Arabidopsis thaliana: one gene and its partners. The protein of the gene in region 1 interacts with the protein of each later gene in a pairwise test. Each region holds a gene or a part of one and is shown in the gene's direction. Other genes may lie near its edges. The genes, in order: ABCG20, AT3G13175, AT5G52420 and AT4G30500.

Evidence for each region.
Region 2: the proteins of ABCG20 (region 1) and AT3G13175 interact in a protein complementation assay, tested with the Arabidopsis thaliana proteins (one large-scale study listed by BioGRID).
Region 3: the proteins of ABCG20 (region 1) and AT5G52420 interact in a protein complementation assay, tested with the Arabidopsis thaliana proteins (one large-scale study listed by BioGRID).
Region 4: the proteins of ABCG20 (region 1) and AT4G30500 interact in a protein complementation assay, tested with the Arabidopsis thaliana proteins (one large-scale study listed by BioGRID).

The regions. Positions count from the first base shown.
Region 1 is NC_003074.8:19,835,907-19,843,297, reverse strand, and holds ABCG20 (ABC-2 type transporter family protein), read left to right. Parts: upstream 1-3,314; 5' UTR 3,315-3,776; coding exon 3,777-5,996; 3' UTR 5,997-6,150; downstream 6,151-7,391. Other genes in the region: UXS1 (UDP-glucuronic acid decarboxylase 1), read right to left, coding at 1-16, 110-193, 479-558, 647-800, 1,055-1,663; RS2Z32 (RNA-binding (RRM/RBD/RNP motifs) family protein with retrovirus zinc finger-like domain-containing protein), read left to right, coding at 6,791-6,897, 7,386-7,391.
Region 2 is NC_003074.8:4,233,259-4,238,497, reverse strand, and holds AT3G13175 (uncharacterized protein), read left to right. Parts: upstream 1-2,683; 5' UTR 2,684-2,917; coding exon 2,918-3,238; 3' UTR 3,239-3,423; downstream 3,424-5,239. Other genes in the region: AT3G13180 (NOL1/NOP2/sun family protein / antitermination NusB domain-containing protein), read left to right, coding at 1-84, 316-407, 494-554, 683-742, 846-906, 1,058-1,165, 1,297-1,415, 1,498-1,569 and 3 more; ATSPO11-1 (Spo11/DNA topoisomerase VI, subunit A protein), read left to right, coding at 4,306-4,360, 4,490-4,589, 4,762-4,835, 4,917-5,018, 5,165-5,238.
Region 3 is NC_003076.8:21,279,176-21,284,851, forward strand, and holds AT5G52420 (uncharacterized protein), read left to right. Parts: upstream 1-2,597; 5' UTR 2,598-2,641; coding exon 2,642-3,370; 3' UTR 3,371-3,631; downstream 3,632-5,676. Other genes in the region: AT5G52410 (oxidoreductase/transition metal ion-binding protein), read left to right, coding at 1-118; AT5G52430 (hydroxyproline-rich glycoprotein family protein), read right to left, coding at 3,918-5,138.
Region 4 is NC_003075.7:14,899,321-14,905,508, forward strand, and holds AT4G30500 (transmembrane protein (DUF788)), read left to right. Parts: upstream 1-4,030; 5' UTR 4,031-4,237; coding exon 4,238-4,321; intron 4,322-4,520; coding exon 4,521-4,714; intron 4,715-4,991; coding exon 4,992-5,076; intron 5,077-5,182; coding exon 5,183-5,248; intron 5,249-5,351; coding exon 5,352-5,444; 3' UTR 5,445-5,688; downstream 5,689-6,188. Other genes in the region: AT4G30490 (AFG1-like ATPase family protein), read right to left, coding at 53-246, 339-427, 508-598, 695-826, 916-972, 1,052-1,144, 1,227-1,292, 1,388-1,474 and 5 more; ATG18B (autophagy 18 B-like protein), read right to left, coding at 5,979-6,105.

The DNA.
Region 1 (7,391 bases):
GGTGTTTGCGAATGGTCTGCATAGATATAAGCCACAATAGTTCTGTCAGAGTGTTTTCAAAAGGCTTTATACGAAAGCGGTTGTCTTTATGTTGATGAAGGAGCTAAACCTGGGCAACAAAGTTACTAACAACACGCCCATCATCAAGGCACATTCTGGGCCCATATGTGTTGAAAATACGAGCAATTCTAACCTGAAAATTGAAAATGCAGTTAGAGATCACTCTTATAAGTTATATCCGTGATTTGGACATAAATAGTCATCAGTTCTAAACATTCCAAAACATTGGAAACAGAAAGAAGAAGAAACATCATCAAATGTAAACATCTTGATAAACAGCAGAGAGATGATTTTGAAACTAATGGGTACAAAGTTCCATGTGTGAATGAGGGTATGAGTTCCAGATTGTACAAGTTCTCCATAAAGTGAGCTAAGAGCTTGCAATATACAATCCATGAGTAGATATTAGAATATTTACCTCCACACCTGCACCTCGGTGATAATCCATGGCCAGGGTTTCTGCAGTACGCTTTCCTTCATCATAGCAACTCCTCTCACCTATAAAAAGATAACAGCAATTAGTGATACAACCTCTCGTTTATATATCTCACAAAATCAGGAGCAGATACAGAATTCTCCAACTCACCGATTGGATTCACGTTTCCCCAGTAAGTCTCTTTCTGTGGATGCTCAAGGGGATCTCCATAGACTTCACTTGTGCTGGTGAGCAGAAACCTTGCCCCAACTCTCTTTGCAAGACCCAACATATTGAGAGTGCCCATTACATTTGTCTTGTAAAACTATGGTTAAGGATCAACCAGAATCATCATATCAACAATAGAGAAAAACACATTCCCAATGGAAACATTTCATCACGAAATATCACAATAATTGTAAGAGATTCTACTAAGCTGCACGTCAATTGTCAAATGCCTATCAACAGGATGCTAATAACAATGATCACCAACCTAATGTTGCCTAAATTTGTATAACGGATTTAGAATCAGAACTTGCAAATCACGACCCGTAATCAAAAGGATATGATAGTCTTGACTGGATTATACTTGTAATGAACAGGTGAAGCTGGACAAGCTAAATGGTAAATCTGATCGACCTCAAGGAGGATTGGCTCAACAACATCGTGTCGAATTAGCTCAAACCTAGGATTCGAGAATAGATGAACCAAATTCTCCTTCCTACCAGTGAAGAAGTTATCAATCACGATCACTTCATCTCCCCTACCGATAAGCTTATCAACAAGATGACTACCGACGAAACCAGCTCCACCGGTGACAACAATCCTCAGTCTCTTCCGTCCGATACCGACGGGAACACGACCGGTTCTACCTCCGCCGCCTCCGGAATTAAAAGTCGACCTGGAAGGCGGGGAATCGGTGACGGCGTAGGAAACAGATCTGGTGATTAACGAGGTGGACTCAGCGGCGCCTAAACGAGAGAGAGAAGGCTGGAGGATGAAGAAAGTGGATCCGATCAAGATCCCGACGAGGATAAAGAGGAGTCGTTGTTCACGAAAGAGATAGTGAAGCGATCTGGGAAGAGATCTGGGATGCTTTAAAGTTTTGGGAGAGTAAGGACTGGATTGGCTCATGGGAATGGTTTCTTCATCACGCTTCGAGCTCATTTGCTTGTGAAGCTGCTTCATCGTTCTCCGATTAAAGCTCGTCGCCGGTGAAAATGAGATCTCAGAATTGCCGGGAAGAAGAAGAGCTTTGGATCTGGATAGATTCAAACGTAAGAGCGATGGTGAATGCAAAAGTAGTTAGTTACACGGCGATTACTTGATGCAATCCTTCGCTCTCTTTTTTATTTTTATTTTGTTTTAGTTATAGAGCAAATATATATGTTTCGCTTCTAAAATCTATATGTGATTATCAGATAATCTAATTAAGTAATTTCACTAATTGTTTAATAATATATGCAATTTTTTATATATATATTCTTGAGGGGATCATTAATGTGATTTGCGTTTGATTTGTATATTATTCAATGAACATATACAAAACTTTAGGCAAATGTGGAAACAAACAAAAAAAACTCCTCGAGGCTTACAAAATATGGGCTTTTAACAATTGGATGCCCAAGTTTGGCCCCTTAATAGCCCACAAAATGTTATGCCTAGAGATATGCTCTTATGCTATTTTTTTTTTTTTTGAATGAAAACTCTCTCATGCTGTTACTCAACAGACGAGAGTAAAAATTTCTCGTACGATTTAACAAATATTAGCATTGAACGAAATCTCAAACCTGAGGGATTCAATTCCTTGATCTAGTCCTACCTGATAAATCTCAAAGTGTTAACAAAATTATGTTGGGAAACTTAGCAAAATATCCTCTACCAAACACAAAATTTCAAAACAATCTTTACATAAAGAAAGTCTTACTAAACTTAACCAGAATAATATAAACTCATTCTCTGTGTGAAAGTGTACATTCCATAAGAAATGTTATGTATTTCATTGGATAAATCATTAGTTCAACTTGATAGAGACAAGCTGATGATACTAAGTATATAGTTTTCTATTATTTCTTGACAACTCTTGTAAAAATGGGTTATCAAAAGTAAAATAATCAAGAAAACAGATATAACAGCTACACCAAACTTCCATATGCCTAAATCTAACTCATCACGTTATATAAAGTTTCCATTACATATTCCTAATGACAATTTTTGTTGTGTTTTCGTGTGTAGCTCTACAACATCAAAGCCGAACATCTGCACGTTTTTCTGCCATAATTTTCACATTCATTTCCTTTTTGTTTCACCAACTACAAAAGTACAAATCAATGATCCTTATAATTTTTTTTTTTTTTTTTTGAAATGAAATAGGCTTCACTTACGCTTTTTTATATGACGAAAATGGTGTGCATGATTAAACAAACAATTGAAAGATAACACGCCATTAGCTTCATTATGCATAATGGCATGCCTTTGTACAATCTTAGTATAGTACCATGCCAAATCCTAATTATGAGAATATCTTATGTGTTTGATATTAACTAATTGCAAAAGTTAATTAGTAACCGCTAAATAAATGTTCAAAATGTTGGATGATTTGATTTTGATACAACAAACAGTATATTCGTAGCGTGCTTTAGTTACTGTACGAAGATATTCACTGATTCAAAATAGTTGGAAATCCAATTAACCCCTAGTCAATTATTGTCTCACGCACCAAAAAACAAGTCTTAGAGCTTGTAAGTGATTATAGAAAACTCGCGGGTCGTGACTATAATAAACAAAAGGAGATTAAGAAATTCGTGACATACATACATGTGCAAGGAGAAATTCTATTCCTGACATGTTACATAAGCTATACTTATTGCAATTCCATAAACTCCGGATACATTATATACAGATGAAATAAACACGTAATTCCATGGAGTAAACTTTTCCACTTTGTAAACAAAAACCACCTAAAATAGGATTTTTTTACAGAGTACCTTAAGCCCCAAGAAAAAATACATACAATAACGGAAAAATGTGGATGGATTTGCCCAACTCCTCACCTACTCGTAACTTACAATTTATATACATACGAAAATATAAACAAAAGCTATGTACATGTAAATATGAAAAGCTACAAAACCCAGAACAACTCAAAGTTAGATACTTAGAGATCACCAAACTAATTGACAAGTTTCTCCCTCATTCTCCCATCCAAATATCCTATAAAGTCGATCAAAATTGTTCTGTGGGTAAGACCTTTAGACACATTACCTGAGGCCAAAACATTAACCAGACAATAATTCACGTGATGTCTGGTTTGTTCGGTATATTATCTCCGGCCAAACGGGTCAATGGCGATGGCCTCCCTCTGTTTTACAATATCCACAAGTCAGTGGAGCTTCAGAGATGTCACAGAGACACTGCGCGGGTGTCTGTCACACTTGCAGAACTTCTCATGAGTGTGGAAGATGAGGGGGATGACCAGAGTCGGGCTATGGATATTGCGGTTGCGTCCAATTTCTGGTCCTCGGTTCCGTCTTCTCGTGTGCCTTCTTCTTCTCCGTTTGTTCTTTCCTTCAAAGACTTGACTTACAGCGTGAAGATCAAGAAGAAGTTTAAGCCCTTTCCTTGTTGTGGGAATTCACCTTTTGATGGTAATGATATGGAGATGAATACTAAGGTGCTCCTGAATGGTATTTCTGGTGAAGCCCGGGAAGGAGAGATGATGGCTGTTCTTGGAGCGAGCGGGTCAGGGAAATCAACGCTTATCGATGCATTAGCCAATCGGATTTCAAAAGAGAGCCTACGCGGTGATATTACTTTAAATGGGGAAGTTCTTGAATCTAGCCTGCATAAAGTCATATCAGCTTATGTGATGCAAGATGATCTTCTCTTCCCGATGCTCACCGTGGAAGAGACGTTGATGTTTTCTGCTGAGTTCAGGCTTCCAAGCTCGCTTTCTAAGAAGAAAAAGAAGGCACGGGTTCAAGCTCTGATTGATCAGCTCGGCCTGAGGAACGCAGCAAAAACCGTGATCGGTGATGAGGGACACAGAGGTGTGTCTGGAGGAGAAAGGAGAAGGGTCTCAATTGGAACCGATATAATCCATGACCCGATTATTCTCTTTCTCGATGAGCCAACTTCTGGTCTTGACTCTACCAGTGCATACATGGTTGTCAAAGTGCTTCAGAGAATCGCACAAAGCGGCAGCATAGTTATCATGTCCATCCATCAGCCGAGTTACAGAATCTTGGGATTACTCGATAAGTTAATCTTCCTATCTAGGGGAAACACCGTTTACAGCGGCTCCCCGACACACCTCCCTCAGTTCTTCTCAGAATTCGGTCACCCAATTCCTGAAAACGAGAACAAGCCGGAGTTTGCACTCGATCTTATCCGTGAGCTGGAAGATTCGCCAGAAGGAACGAAATCCTTAGTCGAGTTCCACAAGCAATGGCGAGCAAAGCAAACCTCAAGCCAGAGCAGAAGAAACACCAATGTATCTCTCAAAGATGCAATCAGCGCAAGTATCTCGAGAGGTAAGCTTGTCTCCGGAGCAACAAACCTAAGATCATCATTTCAAACCTTTGCAAACCCATTCTGGACTGAAATGCTCGTAATTGGTAAACGATCTATACTAAACTCAAGAAGACAACCAGAGCTATTCGGAATCCGCCTAGGAGCTGTACTAGTCACCGGAATGATCCTAGCCACAATATTCTGGAAACTAGACAATTCACCAAGAGGTATACAAGAACGCTTAGGGTTCTTCGCATTCGCAATGTCCACAACATTCTACACATGTGCAGAAGCAATACCAGTCTTTCTACAGGAACGTTACATATTCATGAGAGAAACAGCTTACAACGCTTACCGGCGATCATCATACGTCCTCGCTCACACAATAATCTCCATCCCTGCTCTCATAATCTTATCCGCCGCATTCGCCGCCTCAACATTCTCGGCCGTAGGACTCGCCGGAGGCTCCGAGGGATTCCTCTTCTTCTTCTTCACAATCCTCACCGCGTTTTGGGCCGGAAGTTCCTTCGTGACGTTCTTATCCGGCGTAGTCTCACACGTGATGATCGGATTCACGGTGGTTGTAGCAATCCTCGCTTATTTCCTCCTCTTCTCCGGATTCTTCATCTCTAGAGATCGAATCCCACTCTACTGGATCTGGTTCCATTACCTCTCCCTAGTGAAATACCCTTACGAAGGTGTTCTACAGAACGAATTCGAAGATCCGACGAAATGCTTCGTCAGAGGGATCCAGATGTTCGACAATTCGCCGCTGGGACAAGTTCCAACCGCCGTGAAAATCAGCCTCCTGAAGAGCATGAGCGGCGTTTTGGGGATCAACGTGACGGCGGAGACTTGCGTAACGACGGGAATCGATATACTGAAACAGCAAGGAATCACGGAGATAAGCAAATGGAATTGCTTGTGGATCACTGTAGCTTGGGGATTCTTCTTTAGGGTTCTCTTCTACTTCACACTCTTGATCGGAAGCAAGAACAAGCGTCGCTGATTTACAAAACAGAAAATTATTAGAGTAACTTGACCAATGATTATGATGTACTTAATACTTATGATTAATACGAAATTGCATATGTTTGCTAAATCTTTAATGGGCTTTAGAGTTGATATAAGGCCCAATAAAAGTACTAAATTGGAAAGTGTGCAATTTTCTATTTTCTATATCGGTAATATCGACGTTTATCTCGCCGTGAAATCTAAACCGTTGATTGAAACAAATCGCTACCGTTGAATCTCGTCGGTTTCCAAGTTATAAGATAGGGGTTGAAGACTAATCGCAGTATCATCCGCGGTTCACTTCCTTCGTTTCGAAATTATTAGGGTTACTGCGTATTTGCACTCTCCTTCTTCGTCTCTCCAGGTACGAGGAAGAATCTTTGTAATTGGATCTGTTTAGGGTTACGATTTTATTGTTCTTCGCTCTCTAGATTAGGGATTTCAATTGGTTTCTCGTTTCCTCGCCGTAGATTTCCTTTATAGGTTTCCTTCTGTCTAATCTGATTAGAGATTTATATTCTCCCCTCACGAAATTTTCTTCTTTTCGCCTCTGAATGTGTTATTCAGTTTGGTTTCTTTGTTTTTGGATTTGTGTTCTGCTGAAAAATCATAGATATTCACATGGGTTCTATGTTTAGGTCTGAGGTAGTGTTTTAACTCTCTGGTCTTTTTCTTGTTTATATAATTTGAAGAGGATACTGTTATTCTTTTTCTTGTGATTGGCATATATATATATATATATACATATGTGCCTAATAGCTTATGTTAAAAATATTTTGCAGCTTGACAATGCCTCGCTATGATGATCGCTATGGAAACACTCGCCTCTATGTTGGTCGCTTATCATCTAGAACTCGTACCAGAGACCTTGAGCGTCTCTTTAGCAGATACGGAAGGTAAAGAGTCATATTCCTTTGTCTTGACTGACCTAATTTGACTTTTGTATTCTTGGGGAGATAAGTGTTTGGATTTTTTGTTAATTGTTCTTTGGTGTGAATCTGGAATGATTCCTCTTTGATGTTGTGCAGGGGATATATACCTAAAGTTTAACATTAGAATCAAAGAGGGTAGTTTTTACTTATAACGTTGCATTGGTACATGTGGGAAAATTGTGGAGCTAGGTTTAGTGGATTTTTTTTTCTTTAACTTGAATGATCTTGTTGAAGGTTTCTGGGGGTTTGCCTAACCTGGAGATGTTTGATGAATGGGTGGACTGTGGTGTAATTGGTGGAAATTCTCGTCTGGTGTATAGAGGGTGCATCGGCGATTTTGTTTGTTGATTTATTGCATGTTTTTATTGGAAATGGCCTCAAATCTCAAAAACTGGTGTTTGGAAGTTCCTTAAGTAATGATGGCCTTGATTTTCTGGCAACAATTTACGCAGAGTACG
Region 2 (5,239 bases), about 16 Mb from region 1:
AAAGATGCCCTTCCATTACCCAAAGTGGAAGGGGATGATCGTGCACAGGCACGTGCACTTGCTACTCTTCATTCACATCCCGTTGTAAGTTTGTATAGCTACAGCCTCATCTTTCCATGCTGTTTTAATTCGAAGCTAGAGCTAGTTGGTGGTATGAAATCGATACTTTGAACTTGTGAAGCTCCTAGATTACTTGGTTTTAGCTATGAGGATATCTATGTAGTGCTGAACAACTATGTATTGCTGAACAACTGCGATAAGGCTTCATTCCTGTTTGATGAAAGAAACTCTCATTTTGTTTCCTTTCCTTCCTAGTGGATGGTTAGACGATGGGTAAAGTATCTTGGGTTGGATGAAGCCACAAAGCTAATGATATGGAATAACAATGATCCTGGATTTAGCTTAAGGTTTATCTCCATAACATTTTGTATTCACAGAAGGAAAGATAAGTTATTAGCTGTCAGACAGATAATACTATTTCTAATAATATCAGGGCCAATACGGGAAGGGACATTACAAGAGCAGACCTTGTGGAGCGTCTAAACAGTTTAAAGGTTTTTTTCGTTTAATGTTTCTCGTTCTTTATTCAGTTGAAATCATCGTGTTTGTGTAAAACCAGGCACATGATTGTTTCTTATAATGCTTAGTTTCTTACTTCAATTATGGCTTTCCTATGCTGCAGGTTCCACACGAGCTATCCTTACATTTGGAGGAATTTGTCCGCATCAAAACAGGCTTGCAGGTGTTGTAATGTAACCGTGAATTGTCCTCTTGTTGGCAATTTTCTTATCCTAGTTTTTTTACTGATAAGTTTCATAATTGATCATGGGCCTTTTCTTTAACAGACCGTTGTGCAAGCTGGTTTACTCAAAGAAGGCATCTGTTCTGTTCAGGACGAGAGTGCAGGTCAGTTTGGTCTTGTAATTATTTGGACTGCTCCTGAGAAAAGATACAGTCTCCTCTTCATTAATTTTTCATGCTGTTAACAGATTTAAGTTTATCCAAAATCCTTTTGTTCTTTTGATATCTAAATATCTCCCCACATCTGGTACTGCAGGACTAATAGTCTCAGTGGTGAAACCTCAGCCAGGCGAGAGGATAATGGATGCATGTGCTGCTCCTGGAGGAAAGACCCTATTCATGGCATCTTGCTTGAAAGGCCAAGGTAATATTACAAAGACCCCTTATTTTCCTCTATTGTACATTAATGTTGAATTAAATTATCTATTTTGAGAAACTTTTCTACTATACTTGACTGATTCCATCCTCAAACTGGCAAACTCGAATCGATTATAGGTATGATATATGCTATGGATGTGAATGAAGGACGGCTAAGAATTCTTGGTGAGACAGCAAAATCACACCAAGTTGATGGACTTATCACAACCATTCATTCTGATCTTCGTGTCTTTGCTGTAAGTTAACATTATTTGAGTATCTGAAGTTTCCAAGTTTGTAAGCTACTCACATGCTTCCTTCCAACTTAATGTGTTTTAGGAAACCAATGAAGTACAATATGACAAAGTTTTGCTTGATGCCCCGTGTTCTGGACTCGGCGTCCTCTCCAAGGTTAACATGAGAAAAGTTTATCTAACTGTTTCGCCAGCAAGATTTAACATTGCTAGTTGAATTGACCTGATCTGATTAACCTGTTCCCATTAATCTGTATTTTGTAGAGAGCGGATTTGCGCTGGAACCGTAAACTTGAGGACATGTTAGAGCTCACTAAACTGCAGGATGAGCTTCTTGATTCTGCCTCCAAGTATGCACTCTGTACATACATTTTGATGAGTCATTTGATTAATTCTGAAACACTAATATGCGACTTATCTGATACTTTTATCTGTGACACTCTTGATTGAATCTCAAAGACTGGTGAAGCACGGTGGGGTGTTGGTATACAGTACTTGCTCCATAGACCCCGAGGAAAATGAAGGAAGGGTCGAAGCATTTCTCTTAAGACATCCTGTAAGAATCTTTATAATCCATTTGCTTTCCTTCAGATGTTGATATTAACAAATAGTCTCTCTGCTTTCACAGGAATTCACCATAGATCCAGTAACCAGTTTTGTACCGTCGAGTTTTGTAACCTCACAAGGCTTCTTTTTATCAAACCCAGTGAAACACTCACTAGATGGAGCATTTGCAGCTCGTCTGGTTCGAGCCTTGTGACGTTAAAAGCAAGCTGTATTTGTCTCTGCTGAGAGTTTGGATGCAATTAGACGAAGAGGATAAATGAAAACACCTTCTCTTTTATTCGTAGAGTTGGGTTTTATGAGAGAAGTGTAAACTTGTAGAGATGCTGCTAATTGTATGTTGATATGTTTAAAGAAAATGCCTCGCCGTTTTGCCAGAGCTAGAAAGTAGAAACGGCGGCTCGTGTAAGTTCTAACAAAAGAGTAGTCGTCTGTTAGCAACCCAAATCGGGCTTTTAAAGGCCCATATTTTGGTCGGCCTGAATCCAAAGTTAAAAATTCAATCATGCAAAACGGACAACATTATAACTGAATTGAAAATATCTCTCTTATCATTATTTTAGCTTTGTACGATTTACTATTTATGTCAGAAAATGTTTCATTCTTTGACTTTTACGACAACTTTACAAAAAAAAAAATGTTCATACAAGTCACAGAACAAAGTAACATAAAAATCTTAAAAATATATTATCATTTTCGTTAGAAGAAAAACAGTATAATTTTCAAACGCGTTTAAAAACAAAATAACTTGAGATTTTGACGTTATCCTTGTCACAGAGAATCTTTCCTATTTCTTTACGTATAGACACTCAGAGGAAAGACAGAGAGAGAGTTAGCATTGTACTATCTCTCTTTTAGATATATCTCTATCTCTCTTCACTCCATCTTTCTCGTGTTAACACAACAGTCACAGACTCACAGATCTTTGTCGGTGATCGGAGATGGAGTTCCGGGAGAAGCTTTTGAAGTTCAAGTTGCAAATCGTGTTTGCCTTTGTTTTATCTCTCCTCACCGTAGCTCTCGTCGCTTATTCTCCCGGTTTCCTCACCGTTCTATCTTACTTCTGGCCACTTTTTCTCTCCACGGCTCTCTTTCTCGCTGCCGTTTTCTTCTTCGCACGCACCTCCGATCTCCCGGTTTCGTCTACCATCATCCCAGGCGAAGGCGCAGGCTTAAAAGTGGCGGCGGAAGGGATTCTTGACTATGTCGTCGGCGGACAACACGAAGACATTCTCTTTGATAGCTTCACCAAACTTGACTAAGTATGAGACCTCTCTGTTCTTAATTCCTTAAGTATTTCCGTTAATTAGTTGTTCCTTTTTTAATACTAGAGAAAATAAAATTACAAAATGTAATATTTTCACGAGGAATAAAATCTTGCTTAAGTTTATGCTTCTATATTACTTATTTTAATCTTATGTTTCTGTTTAGGCGCGAGGCTTCTTTTCTTTAGGTATCTCTCATTAGTTTATACGTTACAAGATTACACATTGCATTGATATATGATTTTACTTTCAAAAAAAATTTAAATGTTGAACGACCTTAAAATCCGTGCGCTTTACTTTTAAATCTTTCCGAATGAAACCCAACCACCGACGCGACAGCTTTTCATTTGTTTACTAATTAAACGGAACAAAGCAATTTAAATGTTATCAGTGTTGTGTTTTAGTTAGAAATACTATAAATAATACAAGATGCCTCTTTTGTTTTAGAACTTTTTTGGTATCATGAATTCGTTATCGGATAAAATACGTTAAAGCTAAGTAGTATATTCTTAGATTATATATAAATTAGGTGAGCAATCTATCATAGAGAAGAAATGATTAAAATAAGTGTATGGCATAATAGATTCGAACATTTTGGTATGTTCCTCACGTGTCCGAGCATAAAGCTTATGAACAAATCTCGACCACTAGAAGTCTAGAACTAATTCTAATCTAGTTTACCATACACATTAATTATTTCAAATTTAGTGCACATGATTATTTTATATTGGCATCACTAAAATGTCTCCAAGTCTGAATAAATCGATTTATATTGGTTTGATTGTTATCATGAATCTTTTTCACAATCACTTTGCCTAGTTTCGGATCGGGCCTAAAAGCCAACGGCCCAACGTGTTTAAAAACACATGCGTTTTTAAAATGACACGTCAGTTACGTATCGGGCCTAAATGCCAATGGCCCAACGTCATGGAAAGTAGGAACTAAACGACACGCATGTTTAAATTCGAAGGTTTTAACGGCAAGCTTTTCGCACCCATCCCTTTTCTTCCCGTCTACAAAAATTCGTCGACCATTGCATTTTTCAGTTTTGAAACTCGAAAGAGATGGAGGGAAAATTCGCTATTTCAGAATCGACTAATTTGCTTCAAAGGATCAAAGGTATCAGAAAATCCCAAAATTTTCCGAATCGTATTGAGTAATTTGTCCTCTAATCTATGTCGAAATTTCTAGTCGATGACTTCGCTGGCTCTTCCGTTGTTCATCACTATGTTTCGGTTTTTTGAGCAGATTTTACTCAATCGGTCGTTGTAGATCTGGCTGAAGGAAGATCTCCAAAAATTTCCATCAATCAATTCAGGAACTATTGCATGAATCCAGAAGCTGATTGGTTTGTCTCTCTTCGATCTCGATTATTCAATTTTGTTTTCACTTTCTTTGATTGAAGAATCAGACGTGTTTGGTCTTTGGTTCGAGACATTTTTGAAGGATTTAAGCACAACGTCAACGAGTATTGAAAACTAAGACCTCATGAATTTACCATTTTATTCTGCTGTCTATAGCTTATGCAGCTCTGATAAACCAAAGGGTCAGGAAATTTTCACTCTTAAGAAGGAACCACAAACCTACAGAATCGGTGAGTCAGGTTTCAGATAATTCTACAAGTACATTAGTGTTATCTTAATATAGCATCACATTGCGGTGTTTTTACTTTCAGATATGTTGCTAAGAGTATTGTTGATAGTCCAACAACTTCTGCAAGAAAATAGACATGCTTCGAAAAGAGATATCTACTACATGCATCCATCAGCTTTCAAAGGTGAATTTGGAAGCAACGTATAATGTTTTAGTTATGTTTTTCTTCTAAACGAATACGTATTGAGATTTTTATACGGATATTAGTTATGCATCCCTCTTTGTTGTGTTCTTGGCCTTCTAGTAACACTGTTTTCGTCTACTTCACAGCACAATCCATTGTGGACCGTGCAATTGGTGATATATGCATTCTTTTTCAGTGTAGTCGGTACAACTTGAATGTGG
Region 3 (5,676 bases), on another chromosome or scaffold:
ACAAACGAGCTTGAGGGCTGATGAGATCAGAAATATCTCTATAGTGAAGGCTAAGGAGACTGTGGAAGAGTTTAAGGACAGAGTCGGTAAACTCGGCGAGAAATTCAAGTCGAAGTAGGTTTATGCGGTTTGGTTGAAGATTAAGATTTGTTAGATAAAGATGCAAAACAATGAACTGTCTTAAATTCCAAAACCGGAAAGCTATGAGCCCCAACTTAGATAGATGACTACACTGATTATATGATTGTGGTCTTCGCCAGTTTTTACTACTACCACCATTTAGTCTTTGAATCCATTCTACAAGCAATTGAAGAATAAATATGGTATTGGATCAACTTCAAATTTTGAAACATGATAGGAAATTAAGTTGAGTCTCACTAATTTTTCTTAATATCTGACCATATATTTAAAATTAGTTACCAAAACCTTGGCAGTAAATTTTTAGTTAGATATGATAAAAGATACTATTGTTTTGATTAAAAAAAGGTAGAGATGATGAGATTTCTATGTTGAATTCAAAACAATAAAATAAATATTAGCTAAGATATCACGAAGTGATAAAGATGAATCTTTGATTAAATCACATTAAAAGTTGAAAAACGATATCATAAGAGATTTTGTGTTCTCTATATGTAACGCTATCTGGCAACATTCTTTCTGCTTTCCAATAAGGTTCATGAAGAATGGGTAACACAATTTCGAATGCAACAACGTTATCATACGGTGAAACGACATGCTCAAATCCAACTTCTACGATTGCGAGCAGTTTCACGGAACATCCTCGCCTTCTTGCTATTCTGTCAAGATTGAGAATCTCGCACAACTTAACAATGAAAAATACCAATCTCGTCGTTTCACGGTAGGCGGGTATTACTGGTATGTAGCTATAATCTTGCTCTTATATATTACCATTTATGTTTTATGAGACATGTAACACATATAGACCATGATTTTACTATGTACACATTAGCTCCTGAAGGGTTAAATTAAATCTTCATCATAAGAAAAGAACATGAATCTTTCTTACTTTATGCAATAATATTTCTGTTAAAAAGAAAACCTGCAGGAAATTGATTATATATCCAAAAGGGAACGACGAGGACCATGGAAGTGGTTATATTTCAATGTACGTAGAAATAGACAGCACATCTGAAGTTTTTGCATATGTCAAGTTCTTCGTCTACAATAAGAAAGAACAAATGTACTTTACTATTCAAAGTTGTTGGTTTAAAACATATCTATATTATTCAATATTTATATTAACTATATAAGACTTGTTCATTTGTCACATATGTCACGTTGAATTACTCCATTTTTTCTAATAGATACTGAAGTAAAGCGTTTCAATGCTTTAAGAATGGTATGGGGATTCTCTCAAATGCTTCCTCTCCACTTATTCGAAAATCCAAAAAATGGATATATATTCGACGGGCAAAAATGCGAGTTTGGTGTTGAAGTGATGGTTGTTCCACCCCTTACCAATTGGGAAGTGATGTCTTTTGATCAGAAACTCTCACCATCCACATTCTCCTGGAGTGCCAATGGTTTCTCCTTATTGACAGAGAATCTTTATGTGTCAAACAACTTTTCAGTTGGAGGAAGAGAATGGTGAGGCTAATAAGTCATTGAATATATATACACGTCTATGTATGCTAAGTGTATACAAAATAATGTGACTTTTCTATAGGTGTTTGAAGATGTATCCAAAGGGAAGAGAGGCAGATGGCAAATGGTTGTCCTTATTTCTGCATATATATAGCTGATAGTGAAACCTTTTCGGAGGATGAGAAGATTTACGTGCATGCAGATCTCCGAGTATTATACCCACGTCCACATGTATACAACAATCACGTCACACAGAAACGTATAATTAACTTTGAAACACAATTTTCTATATTCTTGAATAAATCACTTAGTTGCTTTTTTCAAGTCTTAACTAAATTTTCAATACCTTACATATATTTATTTTTCTTGCAGTTAACGTCTGTTACAAGAAATCAACTCAAGGGTGGGGTTGCGAAGATTTTGCGGCTATAGCCATCGGGAGTGTAATTACTTGGACAATGACACTTTGACATTGGAGGTCGAATTTAAAGTTGTTTCTACAACCAAGTATTCTCACCCATGATCTAAGCTCTTCTTGTAGAATATCTACAATATTCCATATTCTACTACAAGTCTAGTAATCTACAATGCCTTGTTTCATACGATTTCTAGTAATTAGTTCCTTTTTAGTTAAATCAATTCTACAGTTTATGGTTCCGGATTCATTTCCTGCTAACTAATTATATCATTTTTTATAACTAGTAATCATTGAAGCTTATAATTGAAATCTATAACTACAAAGCCTAGTGCACTTACGTCCAGAAAGCCAAAATAATTAGGCTTCCTATTAACACATATATTTATATGTTTCTTAAGAACTTTTACGAAATTACCTGCATGTAGTTAAAATAATAAAATCTAAACTAATTGTGAGCACAACAATAATCCGCCACGTCTTCTAAACCTCTTCCATTCAAAACTCTTCACTATCCGCCACGTGTCCCCTTCTTCACACTCTTTTTATCTTCCTCCACCTCTAAAACTTTCTCACCACATTTTCCCGAGAAAACAAAAAAAAAAAACTTACACCAAAACGATGTCTGGAGGTGTCGGTCCAACGTACAACGACATAACCTTACCCAAAGAAGAAGAAGAAGAACATCAAACCCAATCCACCTCAACAGTATCATCCACCGGAAAACCCGCCGGATTCTTCTCATTCCGACAACTAAACATCCTCGCAATAATCATCGTTCTCTCCGCAAGTGGTCTCGTAACAATCCAAGATTTCATATTCACGATCCTCACTCTCATCTACTTCTTCTTCCTCTCGAAACTTATCTTCCCACCACACAACAATCCAAACCGTGACGCTCCTCTCACAAGCTCCACAAACAAAATCTTCCGTATCTATGTTACAGCGGCGGGGATCGTCGGGCTTATCATTCCGATCTGTTACATCTTCGAAGGAATCGTTGAGGATGATAAGAACGGTGTTAGCGCAGCTGCACCGCACGTGTTTCTTTTAGCGAGTCAGATTTTTATGGAAGGATTAGCGACCATGTTTGGCTTCTCTGCTCCGGCGAGGATTCTTGTTCCGATTGTTTACAACGCCAGGAGGGTTTTGACTCTTGTGGAGTGGATTATGAGTGAGTTCTCGAGGGAGGATGTGACGGGGACGGTTTCTGCGCGGCGGATGTATGCCGGGAAAGTTTTGGCGGCGGCTAATTTAGGGATTTGGTCGTTTAATCTCTTTGGTGTTTTGATTCCGGTTTATCTACCCAGAGCGTTTAAGAGGTATTACGGTTCTGATAAGGAGGATTGAAATCCCGGTTTAGTTCCGGTTCCAATAAGGAGAGTCAAAACCCGGTTTAATTCCTTTGTGGTTCACAGCTCTTGTTGTTTTCCCTTTTTGTTCTGTATATTATTTCGATGTTTTCTTTTGAACAATTCAGTTTATGTAGTAGTTCACAGTTGTATTAGATTTCTTACGATAATAACCGAATCTATGTTTCTGAAAGAACAGAAATGAAAATGTTTTAGTAATGATATAGAATAAGACCATTCACGATCTCAGTTCAAACAATATATTTGTATGAAACAGTAAAACAAGAAATAAACAATTTATATCAATGTAACAAGATTAGATGTAGGAGCTGATCCAAGAATATTCCAAAGTTTCCAACTACATGAGTACAGAAGTTAACTGCAAATCAAAGCTTTAAGCTTATTTATTCAGTGTGTATAAGTTGTTAGAACCCAAATCTCTTACCTTTTTTCACGATCCATGTTCAAGGTTTGTTACTTATAGGGTTTTATATCTCTGTCTTTGGTAATGAGGAAGAAGAAGAAGAGATGTCATTTTAATTTGGTTAGCTGACTCCAGATCGTAACCCCGGGAAGAAACTCCAGCTGTTTCCTGCAACCTTCTCGATATTCTCGTCTTTCGTGTTGTCGAATTTAAATTCTTTGCTAGATCCAATCGATGAGGAACTCAGCTTCTGAATTCTATGCTGTTCGTTCTCTCTGTCTCCTGACCTTTTCTCTATGTTTCTTCTTATGTCTGTTGATGAACTCTCCTCTGTTTCGATCCGGTCATTGTTGTTCATTCTGTCGTGTGATCGATTTAGCTTGCTTGCAAGACAACGTGCAACGTCTTCACCTGTTAACTCAAACGAAACTCTGTGATCTGCTACCATGACTTCAGAGCCATGATCCGAATTTGCCAGTGAAGCGACCTCAGAGATCTGATTTTGAAGAGGCCATGTGGTATTGTTGGGTGTTAAGTTTCCAGATACTATCTCTGGACCATTTGGTGTCAGAGCGCCTGAAGCCAAACCTGAACCATGCCCAACAGGTGTGATCGATCCAGAACCGAACCTCGATCCCCATTTACGAGCTGTAAAGTGCTCAAAACCCAAGAACTTTGGAGGCTCGCCTATTCGAAACTCAACCATGGGTGATTTACCAGGGTAAGGAGAAGATGTACCAGAGTTTGAAATCACTGACCCGGGAGAGATTAGATTACCACCACCAGGACTCCCCGGACACACCTGATTAGACCGAAACTCATAGTGCGAAGACGAAAACTTTTGATTCATCCCACTAGTACTATCCCTCCGAGTTAGCTCCAACGAAGAAGTAAGCAACTGAGCAAAGGGCACTTCAGGTGAAGAAGGTGTAGTTATATGGACTGATGATTCAGGAGGTGGAGTATACGGTGCAGTAGATGGCTCAGTTATAAACGCAGAGAACACCGGAGGAGTGACTGGTTGAGTTTCATTAGCATAAGGTCCAACGGTAAAGACAGATTGAGGCTCCTTAGGCGAGAATGTATTGCTAGTAAGAGAAAGTGGACCAACAGGCGAGTGAGAAACCGATGAAGGATCCGATTGCAAAAACGAAGCTGGAGATGAAGGAGGAGCTATAAAGGGAAGAACAACAGTAGTTGAAGTAGCTGAGTTTTGAACAGTAACTACCGGAACTCCAGATGTAACCGGTTCAGGTACAAGCACAGCATTACCAATCCTTTTATTGTTCTTCTGAGTTCCAAAACATGAATATAAACTCCAACATTTTCCCCATCTTCCCTTCTGTACAAATTAAACACACAAAATTAGACTCATCTTGATCCCCTTTAGAGAGAACTGTTTCAACAAAACTTTCTCAAAGTAAAAGCTTTTGATAATAAAGTTAATCTTGTTTAGTTTCTAATAAGTAGCTAAACGTTTGTAATTCACTTTTGGAGAAATTTATACTATCCGTGGAAAATTAACCAAACATGAAATAGAAACGCTTTTAACCTTTTTAATCATGGATGCTATTATGACTTGTAAAGCCAATCCACAAAAAGATTGAAAAAGCAACAACGCATCTTTTTACCTTTTTGAGACCACAATTGTAATCCAGAGAGAACAAATCAAAGTCGTGAAATCAAGAACTAAGCTCACCATTAGCTCTGATCTAGAATCGTAATCAAAATCAAAACACCAAAATCGCAAATTCAAATCACATTCACTACAGTTTCGTAACTATGAGCTAAATCAAAACAGCAAAATCGCGAAATTCAAAACTAAGAACAGATCAAATTTTCAGAGCAATCATTCAAACAAAAGCTATAAATCTCGGAAT
Region 4 (6,188 bases), on another chromosome or scaffold:
AATGAAACTAATAGATTTTAGTTGTTAATCACAGAGTCTGTTATTACATTACCTACTGATGGTTCTGTCTTTTGCGAAACCTAATTCGTTATCCACGCAGAGCTCAGTAACATCGTTCTTTCTTGATCTTGATGATGTTCTTGGACCCATCGATTTCGCCTCTGAGATTGTTATAATCTTTTCCAAAAGTTCTTGAGGATTTGCTTCAGCTGTACACAACAACCTCGCTCTGTTCTCATACATTACCTGCAATTCTTAAACCATCATTATCAGATTTTGATGAAATGGTTTGGTAGTGCCATCTTATAAGAACAAAACAAGAACCAGGAATTGCATACATCGACTAGCGTGACGAATCTATATGCAGCAGTACGGTTATGAAGCCCAAACACTGGAATTTCGTCCAAGGCAAGAGTATGAAACTTCTCTGCAACATCAAGAAGAAGAAGAAGCACTGTTTAGAGACAAGATTTGCAGATGAGAGAGAGACAAAGTAAAGTATCTTACTGAACAAACCGAAGTAATCCGCAGCTCCAAGAGGTCGGTCACATAGCTCTTCAAAAGGAAAGTATGCACATCCATTGGCACCTAATGGAATCTGTTCATGAAGCAGCATTTGGTCTGATGAAGAACTTATATACAGACAACACAAGTGTTGTTGGAGTTACACAGAGATTGGTATAATAAACTGTACCTGTAATTTTCTTCCCATCACCACTTCTACTACCTGTGGACGGGCAACAACATTGTCTCCAATCAATTGTCGGAACTTCTGTTTCAAAAGGGTCGAAAGATCTTTACCAATGAAGTAGAATCCTTGCTCAGCCTGCAAAAATGAAGAAGTGTCCCAGTTATTGAACTCAGCTCTACCTTGAAGCCAGTCTAGGGAGTTTTTAATGGGATTAAGAGCAATACCGAAGTTAGTTTCCGGTAATCAACCGCTGAACCGATCTCATGAACCACACTTCGTTCCTGCGAAAATGGAAATCTTGATGCAGTCTTTGAATTAAAAAGGTACTGAAAGTGGACTAATGATAGTAGATTAGACTACCTTCAATGAAGAAATGAAAGGTAGGAACAGATCTCTTTGGAGTCCTCCTTCATAGAGTTTATCAGGATTCCGATTCGATGTAGCAACAAGAATCTATATTTTATATAGCAAGCATGGACAAAAGTCAGTTTTAAGATGATTGTAGCAGCATAATGTAAGTAAAGATGACACTTACAACACCATTGCTAAACAGATGTCCAAAGAGTCGGTTTAGTATTAGAGCATCTGCAACATCAGTTACCTATAATAACAGAAACAGTAGCCGAAAAAATCAAGATGTGTTGATCCAAAGATGATCACTTTCAAGAAAATAAATATATGAAATAGTGTACATACCATGAACTCATCTAGACATAGTAAGATTGCATCATGAGCTATCTCTTGGGCAACAACTTCAAGTGGATCTGATAAACCCTTGTGCTTCTGCAAACATTATGAACCGAAATCAAACAACGTATCTCAAAAGGCTAAAGCTTTTCCTACTAAAATCAATAGAGAAACAATGGAAACTCAATTATCCATACTTGCAAGCGGCTATGAACACTCAACATGAAATCATGGAAATGTATCCTCTGCTTCTTCCAAGTACAAGGCCTAATGAAACAAGAGAATTGTCATGAAACCGCAATGCTCGAAAAAAAAGGATAAGAATTTGATCATACAAACTTACAGTTGATCAAAGAATAAGTCCATCAACATGGTTTTTCCTGTACCTACACCTCCATAAAGGTATAATCCTTTGACGGGTGAGTAAGAAGTCTGTGGCATGAGCCGAGACCAAAACCAACGACTTCTGTATTACACAAAAACACAGTTGTGTGAGACTCAAGTTCTCAATCCTAAACAGAGAAGGAAAGGTGTCAAGGCTAAGAGAACAGAACAATCACCTTGAGGATTTATCAGAAGTATTATACCGATCTAAACGACATGTATCTACTGAATCCACAAGCTCATCATATAGTCTCTGAAGCTCTCTCAATGCACTAATCTACAACATTTCAAACACAACCTTAAGCCGCAAGTAACACGAATCACATTTAATCTTATAGCTCAAAAGCTTCAATGAAGTAAAAAAGAGTGGCTATTATTTTTATCATACTTGGCAGATATCACCAGTCATGAGTTCACCATTACTGATTCTTCTCTCATACTCAACAAGAGGACCTGTTCTATTCACATCTGTCATCATTCAACAAATATCAGCAAACCAATAAACACGAACTCTGAGATTGATAGAATTTCTTTGCAAAGAGAAACAAAACCTGAGACGGTGACCCTAGTAGTAGCAGGATCAGCTGCTTCTACTGCTTCTGCTGATAAGCCTCTAAAGATACTTGACCTTGAATACAAACTTGAATTATCAGTGTTTGTATTCAGCAGAGCTTGATTTTGATTGACACCGATCAAAAGTTTGCGGCTTTTGGAGTAGAAAGTTGAAGAATAACGTTCTTGATTGTTCCTTAGAGCCCATCTAATTCTACTGAGAGATGATAACCTAATGATTGGTCTCATCTACGATCAATGCAAATTCAATTCAGCAGCTGAAACTTTGAGATACGGAAACAGAGCAAGAACAATAACCCAAGAAGAAAAACAGAATCTTTGTATGAGAGAAATCGGATCCGGATAAGAATTAGAGCACAAGAGGAAAAAGTGAATGAGAATATTGAAAAGTTAAGTTTGATGTTTATATGTAATGACGATGATAAATCTGGATAAGAGAGATAGAGAGAGACCCAAGAATAAACGGAGATGTAGTCAAATAAGGAAGATAGAGAAGAAGATCTTTAACTGTTAAACTCTTAAAACAGAGAGATAGAGGCGTGATTAATGAGTTATTTATCAACTAAGACACGTTTTTTATTTTTTTATTTTTATATACTTTCAATTTTTTAACCAAAATTGATTGTGTTGTACTTCTAATTACATTTGTTAATGTTGATTGCATAGTTGTTTTCCAGGTCATTAGAGGATTGTATTTGTCCCTTATTTAAGAGAGTTGACTATTTTTATTCCTATGAAAAAAGTAATTTCTTGATATATCTTTACCCTAATGATGTCTACAAGTCAAATTACAAATTTTATAAACAATTTTTAACATTTGTAATTATAGTATAGAATATTGGAAACGGAAGCTTCTCGATGTTGCGTTTGCGTACAGGATACTGGTGGACCTAGCGAATGTGTCCCATACATAGGCTAAGCATATTCCAAGTGGGAGAGAGATACGTGAATCAGACATGGTCCTTAAAGATGATCCAACGGTCTATAATTTTTCTAGTTTTGTTCTCAATGGGTAAGTTGAACAATGGACCTTAATGATGACATGTTGCATTGCGTATGATTCCACGTGTCCACGTCATTTCTTACACTGCAAACATGTCTTTTTCTGACCAACCCCTAACGCTACTTTTCTTTGATACATCTTTGTTTTTGCTATAATGGTGCTTGTTGACAAAATAATACTATGTTGAATTGACCTAAAACCATACTCAGATTGGGATATCCGAGAACCATTGTGTAAGACGTGATGTTTGATCCAAATATGGGCTACACTCAAATATTGGATATAGGCCCACAAGATATGATATCTTCATTTTTTTTTGTCTATAGAACAACATAAAACAGGGAAAAAAATTTACACTACTTTTGTTCTTGTTCCGTTATAAATATCGTTTTACCGATTGATCATAGAAATGGTATACTTTTTAGTTTTTGGAACAGCGGTAAAAGGTTTTATGTTGATGTCTTCTCCGAGCGCCGGTGATTTTCACACAGACCTTGTTATTGGAAAACTGAAATAATGCAGTTTTCTGTTGATAGGCCTTAAGATGTCAGATTTTATGGGCCTTTTAGGTTGTTCTGGCCCATTTAGATAGAACTGTTTCAGTTTTCCAACAACAACTGATAAGGATAGACGAAAGCCCAAATTAAGAATCTTTGTCCTAAACCCAAGGAAAAGCGTAATTACGACACGCAGCCAAACAAAACATTTCCTGCGTGAAAAAAGTATTTGAGAAAAGAGGACGACAAAAAGGTACAGGTGTCAATATATAATTGGATTAAACAAGCTTAGACACCTAAAAGTTTTCTCTCACACCATTTGTGAAGATCCAAAGCAAAAGAAGAATTACAGAAACTGAAAAAACTATCTTCCTCGTCTCTTTGATCATTCTCTTTTAACTCATGGCGAATCAAGGAGCAAAGAAGAGGAAAGATGAGAACGCTCGACACATGGCTAAGCTCCGTCTCATTATGATCCTTTGCAACGTAACTTCCTCGTTCCTCATTTCTTAAATTCTCAATACATTAATCCGTTGAGCTTAGATTTGTTTAGATACGTTACTTGTATCAATATGGAACTAAAAATCCGTTGAATTTGATCTTTAGGTCTCGAAAGTTTCAATGTTTAGCTGATTTTGTTTCGATGAATTCGAGGATTGATGTTTTTGGCAATATGTGTTTGCAGATTTTGTATGTCCTAGTGAGGGTTATAATTTCGCATTCAAGTCATACCTGGAAAAATTGGATTGGTCTTGTGTTAACATCGTTAGGTTACGGGATTCCATATAAGCTTCTTCATCAAATGGCAAAGCCTAGTGTTAGTGATGCTGGTGAACTTCTTGATGGTGGATTTGACATGAGCACTCCTGGAATGTGTGGGTACGTTCGGAAAGATTTGTCTTTTAAATTGATCAACTAGAAAGTGCCTGCTTTTGTCTCAAGTGTTTCTGTATAGTTGGATTCTGTTTCCATAACCAAAAGCAATAGTAGGAGGACTGTTTCATTATCAGTTGTTTGAAATGAGTGATGTTTTACTAGTTGTGGCTTTCTCCGAGTTTTATCGTTTATCAGTTGCTACATAATCGTCATCTTTATGGTGGATTGGATTTATGGTAGATTCTATAGTATAAGCCTGATGCTCTATTCTTCCTTGCAGATATTTGCATGATGTACTCTACATCACCTGCTTTGTGCAGGTCGGATCTATCATCTCTGGAAAGTTTTGGTACGCGTATTTAGTGGTATGATACCCATCTCAATTTTCTTTATTGCCATATTTTAAGGCAAACAACAGATTTGCTCTGTAGGAATGATGCAACCATTTACTTTTGCTTGTTTTTATTTTAGATCCCTGCATTTGGAGCATACAAAGCTTCTGGTCTTATTAAGGGACTATTGTCACATGGTTCAGAGGTAATCACTTTGTCTTGAATACTCTCAAAGTGCTTTGAACAAGGGGGAAATAAAACATGATCATTTAAAATGGACTGTGTTTTGTCTATATGACTGAACTTAGGGAGGTGTTGAGGATGAGAAGACTCGCAAAAAGAGGGAGAAGATGGAGAGAAAAGCTTCTAGAGGACAAGTCGTTAAGACAAGATCTCGATGAATGTCTTAAACATTCATCTTTAGCAAACACAATTAGCAAATCTTTCTTCAAACATACAAAATGCAAATCAATGGGTAAATACTCTTGACTTTGTAATGTACCTGTCTTTACACTATTTTGACTTAATGGATGTGTTAAGATGAAGTAGACTAATAGTCTTGAGTAGGATACAGTGAATTCTCATAAGATAAAAGACTTTTGCTCTTTGGATTATGATGATGTTATGACTTGTGAGCCATTAGACCGACAAATGATCCTGACTTGAAAATTCTGATTCATAGCTAAAGAGCCTTGACTGTAACTATGGAGTAAGTGGGATATGATGGAAAGAGTTGGGAAACCATTTTGTATTTCATTTCTTCAACACAAATCAAGATTAAGATACAGTAATAGCACGGAAGAGCTAATTATATTTGCGAATAACCAAAGAACATGAGACTATAAACATATTCTTAATGAACCCAAGGTACAAAAATTGTTACATACAAAAAAGTTGCCCAGTACTTTCATATATTTGATATTTGGTTGTATACATCACCCGGTGGTTATGGAGAAGAGATTGAATTCACGTTCCAGTGTCCATAGAGACTCATTCTTGTTATTGATACTTAGCGTATACTCCTGGAAATATCCGTTATAAGTGATCACCGATACCGTTGCTCTGAAAAGAACGTGAAAGGTAAAAGATTATCAAAACTTGTCATGTAACCATGGTTTCAAAATGAAGATATCCTAAAATCTTAC